Bombyx mori: one gene and its partners. The protein of the gene in region 3 binds, or shares a complex with, the protein of the main gene of each other region. Links are inferred from orthologs where the notes say so. Each region holds a gene or a part of one and is shown on either strand. Other genes may lie near its edges.

Region 1 (3,560 bases), on a different chromosome or scaffold from region 3:
TATTACGACAAAAAGAAGATCTTCCACTGAGCGGGTGATGTTGCAGGTGGATCGACGGTCCGAACGTTGTTAAACTTGTATAATATATGCAAGCTTATCTTGAAAATGTCGTAACCGAGATTCAGGCATCTGTCAAATATCTTATATTATATGATGGCTAGCCAAGGGTAACCACTCATCATGATGTGGGCTTTTTACTCATCTGTTAATAAACGTGATTAAATAACATCTATATAGACCCCGGTAGGATGGTCCAGGGAGTATCTGGAATAGCAGCAGCACTGCTTGACTAACCGCGACACCCAACGTCAAGTAATTTTCAGCCAGTCATGCATACTTAATGAGTCAGCCAGGCATACTTAGGGTGGTTCTGTGTTGACCTCTGTGCCCTTTCTACCTTTCCTGGGTCCTGTATCGGGCAAGCTCAGAAGTTGTCACAAGACAGGGGGGTGGCTTAATGGATTTTGCACCCTAATAAATTCATTATTTAAATGTAACTGTAGAAAATTGTTTATTTGAAAATGGGTATGAAAATAAAATATTAGATTGTAAAACAATTTGATTTACTTATCAACTATGATTCAGTTCTTGAGCCAATTTTTAATTAACCAGGTATTTCATCCATCATCTTTCGGTATTTGTGAATCTTCAACTGTTTTCGTACTTGGTACATACACTTTAAATGAGAACTCAGTTCGCGGAAAAGACCCAGGGTTCATAATCTGCGAGTTTTGATATGAGCGAGTATAAGGTTGGAAATGGTCGCCAATCACTACCAAATCCGGCATCGGATACAAACTTAAAGAATCCGAATGCTTCCAATACACTGGTTGTATAGCTAATGACAATGGTGACAGTGTACATTGACTAAACAAAGTCTTCACCAAATGATCAGGAATATCACCAGTCTCCGGAAAATGTACAGAATTCCTACACATTTTCATTACTAAATCTTGCCTGAAAACTACTATCTCTTGTGTACAGTATTGTATTCTGCATGGGTTCGTTGTGAAAATGACTGCATCACCTAATTTTTCTCTTATACCTTGTGTTATGGAACTTGGAATTGCTGGTCTTGGTAAAACATTGGCAGCACAAGGATCCGATCTGCCAGGTACAAAGATAAATTTGCATTCATCTTTCAATTTCTTGAATTGAGCTATTATTTCACCTAAGTTTGATAATGCCATTCGTAGCTGTGTGCAATGCTCCTGACCATACGGACACGAGAGGAATTCACCCATGAACACGATAGCCACAGGTGGAAAATCATTGTAGCCACTAAATAATGTTCTTAAGTTATTCATAACTTTCAATGTGTCTATCCAAACATCAGATAAGAATATAATCATTCCTTCTTTATTTTCCTGTTCAATCTTTAGCAATGACTTAGAGTTTTTAAGTAAAGTCTTAGAATTTCCACCAAATGTATTTAAATTACCAAAAAATGGCAGTGACGAGGCTCTGCTTTCCGGCGGCGGTAGCACAAGGCCCATAACATTTAATACCTTGTCATCATAATAACCTTCAACTAAAACGAAGCTATATTCAGTGAATAAGCCTGAGTGGTACCTTGTTTGTGACATATCGAGAACAACACTGCCAGTTGGATCTTCCAAGTAATATTTTCCTTCTGTCAACTGTATTAAAAGACCGAGCACAATCACATCATCGATTCGACTAGAAGAGCTTAGCAGCGCTTCGATTTTGCGCAATTGGAAATATTTCTCCTCGGCCAATGAAGGCAAGGCTTCTTGAGCAAACAATTTATTCCTAACAGTTCTTTGCCATATTATTTCGTATCTGTCTATCAAGAATTGCGCTTTCCACTTCGGTTCTGGATATAAATTGTTCTTATGTACAGATTTAACGAACTTATTTCTCTCATTGTCGTAACTCAGTTTGGGAATGTTAAAAGCGTCGATTACGTTTAAAACAGTTTCGGTCTCTTCAAGACCCGATGCAGAGCATTCTTTGAAGGCGATTTCCAGGTGTTCTTTCTCTAATACGGGCTGTGAAATACATTGTTTTAAAATGTGTGAAGTTAACTTGTCAAGAATTGCCCGTCGTTCATGTGGAGTCATTGAAGTTATTTGATCGGCAACGTAAGTGCTAGCTTCTTTGCGTATAGTAAATCCACTAAGTTTAAATGCATTGTTAACTTCTGCACGTACCGATTCCATACTTTTTTATTATAGGTAATCAAATTTTTTGTAAACAAAATCACATATTTTTAGTAAATAAATTTTAAAAAGCATGTTTATTTTTGTTTATCCAATTAGACAAGCAAAGGAAACATAGCCCATAAATCCGACTTTTAGCCTTGTACTTTATTTTGATAGGTCGAAGCCGTTTGTAATACGAAAATGTAAATGCATTTTTTAATTACTTAGCTGGGTAGACAAGTTCACGGTCTACCTGATGTTAAGTGGTTACGGGAGTCCATGGACCTATACCTTGAGATAATATAAGGTCTCTTAAGGTTCTAAGGTCTCAGTTTTTACAGTAGTGCAATTATTTTTATTACACGGTGTTATTCCTTCACCGTGGAAGTCTATAACTTCGTGAACATTTGATAAAATAACATATTTCATTATAAAAATTGTTTGCGGGATTTGAACATTGATGCATCGCAAGATACGAATGCACCGAAAGTCTTATCCTTTAGGCCACGAGAACTTCAAAATGCATGTGTCATAATATAAGGATGTACGGTACCGTGGTTGCGGCAGATTCTTCGCAAAAGAAAAATGGTGGGAATACATTTTTCAAATGGAATCAAAACACTAATCAAAACCAGCCAGATAAATTTATGCAATACAGCCAGAAATATTTATTAAACTGTATTGTATTCATAGACCTATCCGTCAGTGATTGTATTGTATTTTTTTTTTTAGCCTTTATTGCTGTTTTACTAACTTAATACATTACCTAATAATAAATTAAATTTAAGTGAACTTATAATCAATTATTCCGTTCGACGTTCGGCGTGGTTTTAAAAACAGCTTGTCTCTCGACAAAGGCCTCCTCTAAAGATTGATAAAACTTTTACTCTAATCTAATAGAATTCAAAATAGATTAAAATAACATATCAATGATTTGATCCAAATTTTATTACGTACCTACAACCTTGTACCTACCTACTAAAGTTTAATGACAGCAAAAAAATATTAAAACTACTCTTTAAAGTGGTGTACTGTACTATGATTATCAATTTTATCTTGTACTACAAGCAGTACAAGCAAAAGTATTGAGTAATTTTTAAAAAGATGACTAATCGGTAATCGGATTCTTGCGTCATAATATGTATTGCTTACATTTTTACCGTTTGGAGTTTGGGTATTCCCGCTTCTTAAGCTGACGAACGATTGAACACAACATATGTTTATAACTAAAATCCGCTCATATTTATTTCAGTTTGACTTTCTCGCTTGTTGAATAAATACACAGGAAATGTTTATTTAAAATAAAATACCTATTAAGAAATCTACAAACATCCTTAAAGTTTTAAAAGTCCACCAAATAAGGTAGGTAATAAATTTAATAGAACTTTAATTGCT
Region 2 (4,418 bases), on a different chromosome or scaffold from region 3:
AAAAACAAAAACAAAAATAATAAAAAAAATAGTAGTTATAAAAATCCCACTCACATGAAATGTTTACAATTCATTCTATATTTAATCTACATCTACAAAACTCGCACTAAGCACAGATCAAATGCAATTATGAGTCCAGATGGCCTCAATTGTCACATGAAGTTGGAGTTTCAATCACTTGTATGGTTGAAACTCCAACTTCATGTGACAATTGAGGCCGTCAGCGCAAAAGTGGCCAAAGCTTACCATAGTTATTATGGAGCAGAGATATTTAAATTTTCACGAGTTTAAATTTGAGTACGCAAAAAACAATAGGGGCAAAAATAATGTTTACAGTCATCTATTACCTATGGGTGAAACTATGAATATGCCAGTTTTGCATCAAAATTTATTATATTTTAAATAGATTGCAATATACATAATTATAAACATGATTATGAAAAATTGTGGGTTAGGCCACTTTTGCGTTGACGGCCTCAATTATACTCCTGTATGCCTTAGATATTGTGAGAAACATACTTCAGTGCTCTTAATTATAGTTGAAATTATTTGATAAAAGTGTCACACAACAAATAGTTTGAGATGGTCCATGAAATGACAATTACTTTTAGATTACACCAGATCAAAGTTTTAGCAATATAATTTATAAACTTTCTGTTATTTATTTCACTTTAATATTTGAAAAACTTAAAGTAATCATAAGTAATACAAATTTTAATTGCATAACATTTTGATTAACAAACAACATGCAAAGGCAGAATTCTATCATTTAATGACACAATCATCAATTTAATGACACAATTAAATGATACTTGACGAGCACAATATTTGTAAATGTTATTACATTTCATGAAAGAAAAGAAACCAATTTGTAAAATTAAGTTAATAAAAATAACCCAACGCCAGAATAGGCTTATTGGCACAGATTAGGAGACACTCAACATTTGTTTCTGTTTAAATTCTTCACTTTTCTTCAGTCTGTGAATTTGTCCCTTAGTGTTTGTAGTTCCTGAAATTATAACATTTGAAGATTAAAATCACGATCATCTAGTTTGCTAAATTATTTAAAACATTGTGCATCCACTAACAGGCCACTATTGGTGTATTGGGAATGTTGTTATGTTTTAAAATAAATAAATAAGATTTAGTCTGTAACATTCGAAAAATCACTGCCAGGGTTGATGAGTTAGACTTCTACATCAAGTAATTCCAGTGTAGTTATTTACTTTTTTAGGATCTTTACATGTAATTTTTTTCTTAAATATATTTGAGAAAAGTATTTATGACTACACGCATTTTAAAACTAAATTAGTGTATTAGTCCTTAAATTAAATTATTTATTAAAATTTAGTAAAAATTTAGTAAATTAAATTATTCTAACTTACAGCTTATCACTCTTGTTCATTGTTACTGGATGAGTCTTCACTGCTGTCTTCACTGGAGTCTTCACTTGAATCATCACCGTTCTTGGCAGCTTTCTTGGCCATCATCTCTTTGAATTGACGCACAGTGATCTTTCGAGGCATGATCTCTCTGAGAAAGTCTAAAGTGTCATCCTCTTGAACAATATCAGCAATATGTTTGTATTCTAGGAAGTTGGCATTACTGTTTTTGTGTGCCCTCTTTGCTAGATCCATTACAAACAATTCCTGGAAATTAGTGTGATTATAATCTTTATCGGAGTCCATAGCTATCACAATGTGATTGTCACCACTCTAAGAACCTACGAAATAAGATCTAAGTCTCAGTTGTACTATAAAATACTGTCCAGACTATTCAAAATAGAATATCATCAATCATTGGAGTAATTGGTGTAATAAAAATCAAACTCATAAAATTTTAAAAAATTGCATAAAACTAGTCATTACGGTAGGGCGCACATCGGTATTTCGGCTGCGAAGCAGTAATGATTTTCGGTTTGAGGGGCGAGGCAGCTGTTACACTATACAATTGAAACCTCATGTCTCATGTTGGGTAGAGACATTCACACAGTGATGAGGTCTATAGGCTCCAGTAACTACTTAACACCAGGTGGGTCGTGAGCACGTTCAACCGTCGAAGTAATAAATAAAAAAAAATCGCCTTGGGAAGTTTAGGTTAGTTTAACTTAGGTTAACCTCTAGAAAACTCACTGTAACTTTAGTGACTAAATATAGTGGTTCTGGACCAACTGCTTCTACGTCCGGTGAGCTTTTCATTATTGTTTTAACCCTGGACAGGGGCAAATGCAGATCTTTTTCACTTTTTGGGGTAGCCATCGTTTTAGTCGAAAGGAAATACAAACTAACTAGAAATATTTTATAGGTGAACTATTAAAAATTCATTTCAAATAGATTATTTAAAACAGACCGCGAATCTCTAAGCATTTTAAACTGAAGTCAAAACTAAACGTCAAAATCAAAAACTTTGTTTTGTTTCATTTGTAAATCGGAAAGGCATGCGGAACATTGCTCATTAAATATTTTAATTTTCTGTAAGATTTGTTGGGTCCAAAGTGAGTGAGCGTGAATTTCCGCAGATCTTTTATCTTGAAAAAAAAAACAGTCACTGCTATGTTAGCCACAGTTTTATTCCAATTCCTCAATAATCGTGAACAACGATTATTGACGTCTAATACACAAAACAACACCCAATTTATATATTATACATCACAATAAACTATTAAAAAACATTAAAATAAAACTTCAAGTGACGCTTCACTCGGGTTGCCGCCAAAACTCTCTGATCATATTATTTAATAAGAATAGAGTAATGGTAGGCCATTGAGATTTTTACTAATGGAATCATTAATATCTAAAAATAATTATATAAAGTAATAATTATTATTACAATATATAAAAATTGAATTGAACAAAAATAAACTAAAAAAGTCTGTGAATTATAACCATTAGCTATTTTTTTTAATTTGTTGTTCAAGTCACAGACAACTCTTTCGTTTGGCAGCATATAGGTTTACTATAAGGCTGTATGGGCTAAGCCCTTTGCCTATTGGCGAATTTAAAAACTGTGCCATACTCAGTTTTGGAGATGAATGAAGTTAGCCCCTCAAAAAAATTTTTTTTTCCTATTTTCTACTTATTTTCTATTAATTCGTTTGTTCATCATTTGTTCATGATTGTTCACTGTTAATAATTGTTTGTTCTGCAGTTATTTATTTAAAAAAAATATTTAAAAATATACCTACAAGTTAGCCCCTCTAATGCAATTTTTAATATTTTTTCATCCTTAATGACTCGTAAATATTTATTTTCGATTGTTCTTATATAAAACACGTTTGTTATCTTTCGAAATTACTCGTTTTTTGTTTAATTTACTATTTTTATTAGTTGAATAAATGTATGCAAAATATGTGTACTGCGCATGCGTCAACTATAATGCCTAAACTTTCTACGTGGTTTTAATGGTGAAAAAGAAAACAAATATAAATCCTGAAGGAGCAATTAATTGGTATACAGTTTAATTAAAAAAATTAAAAATTAAATAAATGAAATAATGTGCATTGGCGTTAAGTTAGACCAAATACATTTTTTCCATCCTCTTACCTATCGTATTAAAATGTTATTTTACTAATGTTAGGAATATAATTTCGACTGTGTAAAAAAGTTATTATAATGTATACCTATATTATCTCTTGAAAGATAAATAATGAACATATTTACTTATTTGTTTATATTACCTATGTGAACTCCCTATCTTTTTTATACCTTCATAACGATAAGTAGGAGGATGGAAAAAATGTATTTGCTCTAACTTAACGCCAATGCACATTATTTCATTTATTTATTTTTTAATTTTTTTAATTAAACTGTATACCAATTAATTGCTCCTTCAGGATTTATATTTGTTTTTTTTTTCACGATTAAAACCGCGTAGAAAGTTTAGGCATTATAGTTGACGCATGCGCAGTACACATATTTTGCATACATTTATTCAACTAATAAAAATAGTAAATTAAACAAAAAACGAGTAATTTCGAAAGAGAACAAACGTGTTTTATATAAGAACAATCGAAAATGAATATTTACGAGTTATTAAGGATGAAAAAATATTAAAAATTGCATTAGAGGGGCTAACTTGTAGGTATATTTTTAAATATTTTTTTTAAATAAATAACTGCAGAACAAACAATTATTAACAGTGAACAATCATGAACAAATGATGAACAAACGAATTAATAGAAAATAAGTATAAAATAGGAAAAAAAGAAATTTTTGAGGGGCTAACTTCATTCACCTCAGTTTTGGGGTGTTATCAAATAAGTATTTTTTTTTTTTGTAAAACAATGCCAGGGTGAAAGAAATGTTGATACATAAACTAAAACACGTGAAAAAATAAGGCATAGTTTTTCAAGTACAAAAAGTTTAGACATAAAGTTGGCCCACTTTTGGGCATTGTCCTTTTCGGTTACATTTTTTTTT
Region 3 (3,067 bases):
GCGTTTTTGTTCATTTGGACATCACTATTGTCAAAACAACACTGGCATCAACATTGCACCACGAGTTTGCGCAATACCTCCAAGCGTACCTAACTCAATAAAAATGTATTTATAAATTTTATTTCAATTTTATTACGTACTTAGTAAATTCAACAATTGACCTTCCCTTTTATATGTATTCACGTCATTCATTTTTAATTTTTCATCGATTTCTGTAAAACTAGGTCATTGACCTGTTTAGTTGATTCAGTTGTCAATTTCTATCTAAAAAGTAGATACCTATTATGTTTTAAAAACGAACTAACACGGACAACGTGTCCTTTGATACGCTAATATACGCTTTCATGGTAGTCAATGTATGCCTAGTAAATCTATGGTAAGCCTACTGATATATTTTATTATATTTTCTAAATAATGTTTTTAAGCACACTGGTCACTCGTAAATCAGCTGTTTACGGGTAACATGATAACGAACGCGAAGCTTTTGTGAACTGAAGGCCATGTTATTTTTTAAAGATGAAATTTTTATTGCTGTTCCTCCCTTCAAACCGGAATGCAATAATGCTTTGTGGCAGAAATGAGCAAGTAATTTCGTTCGTTTCTCATTATATCGACATCGTGCAAATCAAATAATTCTACAAACAACACGAGTGTTCGAACCATTGCTTTTTATTTTTATCAACAATCAACAAGGTTTCAAGCGAATTAAATGGCTGATTAAAATAACAGATTATCAGATTATAATAATTTAACCAAAAAATAATAGCGAAAATAAACTTTTACATACTTTTGAGTAATTTATTTTTTGACCGTGAATTATTTTGGATAATGGTGACTGCTAAATATTTTGAGTTAATTAGACGATAAAGTCGATTTCCCACCAAAGCATACAGTTTAAGTTTATCTCATATTGTCTTGATCTTTGCTGCACTACAAGCCCTCTTCTGGTCTGCATTCGTTAAATGGACATTATGCGTCATCATCAATGCGTGCTTTCTTGCCACCAGTGAATTAAAATTATCACGCAATCCTATATTTTTGTAATATTTTTGGAAAACAGATCGCAATGTTTTTATAGCATGTAACGTGAATAAGATTTGAGGTTTTAATTTTGAAGAATAATAGAAACGTTGAATAAACAACAAATAAACACGTGATAACGCTAAATACTAATTGTGAATTCGGTAGGCTACTACACTGCAGGATCTAACTGCTGGTATTGTCCCATCGTTTTATGTAACTTCACCGGGTATCTCATACAGCATAATAATATAGTTTAAGCCACGATACCTATGAAAACTTTGAAAAAAAGGCATTGTATTCCGAGTACCTATTTTTGAGACTTTTTGTAGCACGGCGACAGGCGGCAGTTACTAACCCTTGTATCCATAGATAATACACATAGAGAGTACTATCGTAACATTCGTAACTGTGTATAATCTATAACTGTGACTGTATGCTCCAATCAATGTCAAGAAATGTCATTAGTGCTTCTGGCGGTTAAATTAATGTTTTCATTTAATTCCAGATTTTATAAATAGGAACGTTATAAACAAAAATGGCTGAAAAACTCGAAGATTTGAATTTACCACTCACAGTTGTAACTAGAATCGTAAAAGAAGCTCTTCCCAGTGGCGTATCGATATCAAAAGAGGCGCGAACTGGCCTCGCTAAGGCGGCTTCAGTTTTTGTACTTTATGTGACTTCAGCAGCTACAAATATTGTTAAGAACAAAAAAAGGAAGGCTCTCACTGGGCAGGACGTGATAGATGCTATGAAAGACATCGAATTTGATAGATTTGTGGAACCTTTAGGAGAAGCTCTGGAACATTACAAGACCATGGCTTCGGCACGAAAATCCGCTTCTATGAAGAAAAAAGATGAACAAGAAGACGCTGAGATTATAGAAGACGATTGAATACTACTGCGACTTGAGTTTAAAATGTATAGTGGCGCTTAGTGGTGTATATTCAGAAACTGTGCTGAAAAACTATATGAAATAAGTTCAAAGAACCCATGCCTGTGTTACAAAAGTGATAAATGTTTAAATGAAACAAGTTTCCCATGAACATTTACAACAGTTACCTCGCAATAATTAATCAGTTGGTAATAATGTATGAAGTGTTTTAAAATTAAATAAACTTTTATTAAAAACAAGTAAACTTCAAAAGCATCCCAAAATGAATTGTGTCCACTTACTTTTACATCAGTAAATTAACTACAATTAAAACTTAGAACTTCTCAAAATTTGTTTTTGCAATTTGCTAAAATTAAAAGTATTTTATTTGATTTATTACTGATATTTTTCTAAACTTAATTTTTACTGCCATAAAAATTACTTAATGTTAGGTTATGTATGTATGTATGTTATGTAAATGTTACAATTATTACTAGATCTGGTCACACATCCTTTTAAAACTTGTAATTATAAGAAAATTTTGTTAGAATCTGGCTTTTCTATTATTTTTCAGTATTCTAGAATAGTCTCAAGAGAAATTAAAATAATGGTTATGTTTGTGTGAAAACCTCCAATTATTTTCATTCAATATATCATACAATATTCAATGCCCTGCTTATCTATGGTGGTAGTTCTCGAAACTTGGTAGTTTGTTTTGGCTTTTGTCAAGAGTGGGACATGACAACCAATTTGAATTAAATGATACGAAATATGAATCAAATGAGTCGACTATTATCAAAGCCGGCAATGTGACTTTTGGACAATTATTGGTAAATCAGAAAAACGAATTATTGACTTTGTATTCTGTTGGCAGTCACAAAACTCTTCTGAACGACATCTTAGATAAATAACAGGTTAAGTATTAACCTTTATTTAATGCAGGTTTTGAACCGTATTCTTTGAAGGAGACGATTATATTCAAATCAATCTGTATTGACATATCAATAACATTTTTTTGTCCAAATGCACAGATTGCCACCTTTGATAATAGACGACTCAAATACAATATAACATCATAGGATAAGATTCAAAATAAGTGTTTATAGGAAGTCTCAAAGTAGTTCCACTGACAAAGTAAAAAATGGAAGAATTATGGTATGGGCATGTTAT

What was found. The genes of interacting proteins can lie anywhere in the genome.
Region 1: DNA polymerase epsilon subunit 3 (region 3) and DNA polymerase epsilon subunit 2 share a complex: the UniProt entries of both Homo sapiens proteins name them as parts of the DNA polymerase epsilon complex. The link is inferred for Bombyx mori from reciprocal best matches to the Homo sapiens genes POLE3 and POLE2.
Region 2: DNA polymerase epsilon subunit 3 (region 3) and chromatin accessibility complex 16kD protein share a complex: the UniProt entries of both Homo sapiens proteins name them as parts of the CHRAC ISWI chromatin remodeling complex. The link is inferred for Bombyx mori from reciprocal best matches to the Homo sapiens genes POLE3 and CHRAC1.

Annotation. Positions count from the first base shown.
Region 1 is NC_085134.1:2,670,510-2,674,069, reverse strand, and holds DNA polymerase epsilon subunit 2, read right to left. Parts: upstream 2,301-3,560; 5' UTR 2,184-2,300; coding exon 618-2,183; 3' UTR 547-617; downstream 1-546. UniProt on the Homo sapiens protein: Accessory component of the DNA polymerase epsilon complex. Participates in DNA repair and in chromosomal DNA replication.
Region 2 is NC_085111.1:17,749,469-17,753,886, forward strand, and holds the start of chromatin accessibility complex 16kD protein, read right to left. Parts: upstream 2,847-4,418; 5' UTR 2,259-2,846; coding exon 2,133-2,258; intron 1,650-2,132; coding exon 1,392-1,649; 3' UTR 1,386-1,391; intron 1,010-1,385; 3' UTR 1-1,009. UniProt on the Homo sapiens protein: Forms a complex with DNA polymerase epsilon subunit POLE3 and binds naked DNA, which is then incorporated into chromatin, aided by the nucleosome remodeling activity of ISWI/SNF2H and ACF1.
Region 3 is NC_085130.1:7,455,804-7,458,870, reverse strand, and holds DNA polymerase epsilon subunit 3, read left to right. Parts: upstream 1-1,433; 5' UTR 1,434-1,558; coding exon 1,559-1,918; 3' UTR 1,919-2,447; downstream 2,448-3,067. UniProt on the Homo sapiens protein: Accessory component of the DNA polymerase epsilon complex. Participates in DNA repair and in chromosomal DNA replication.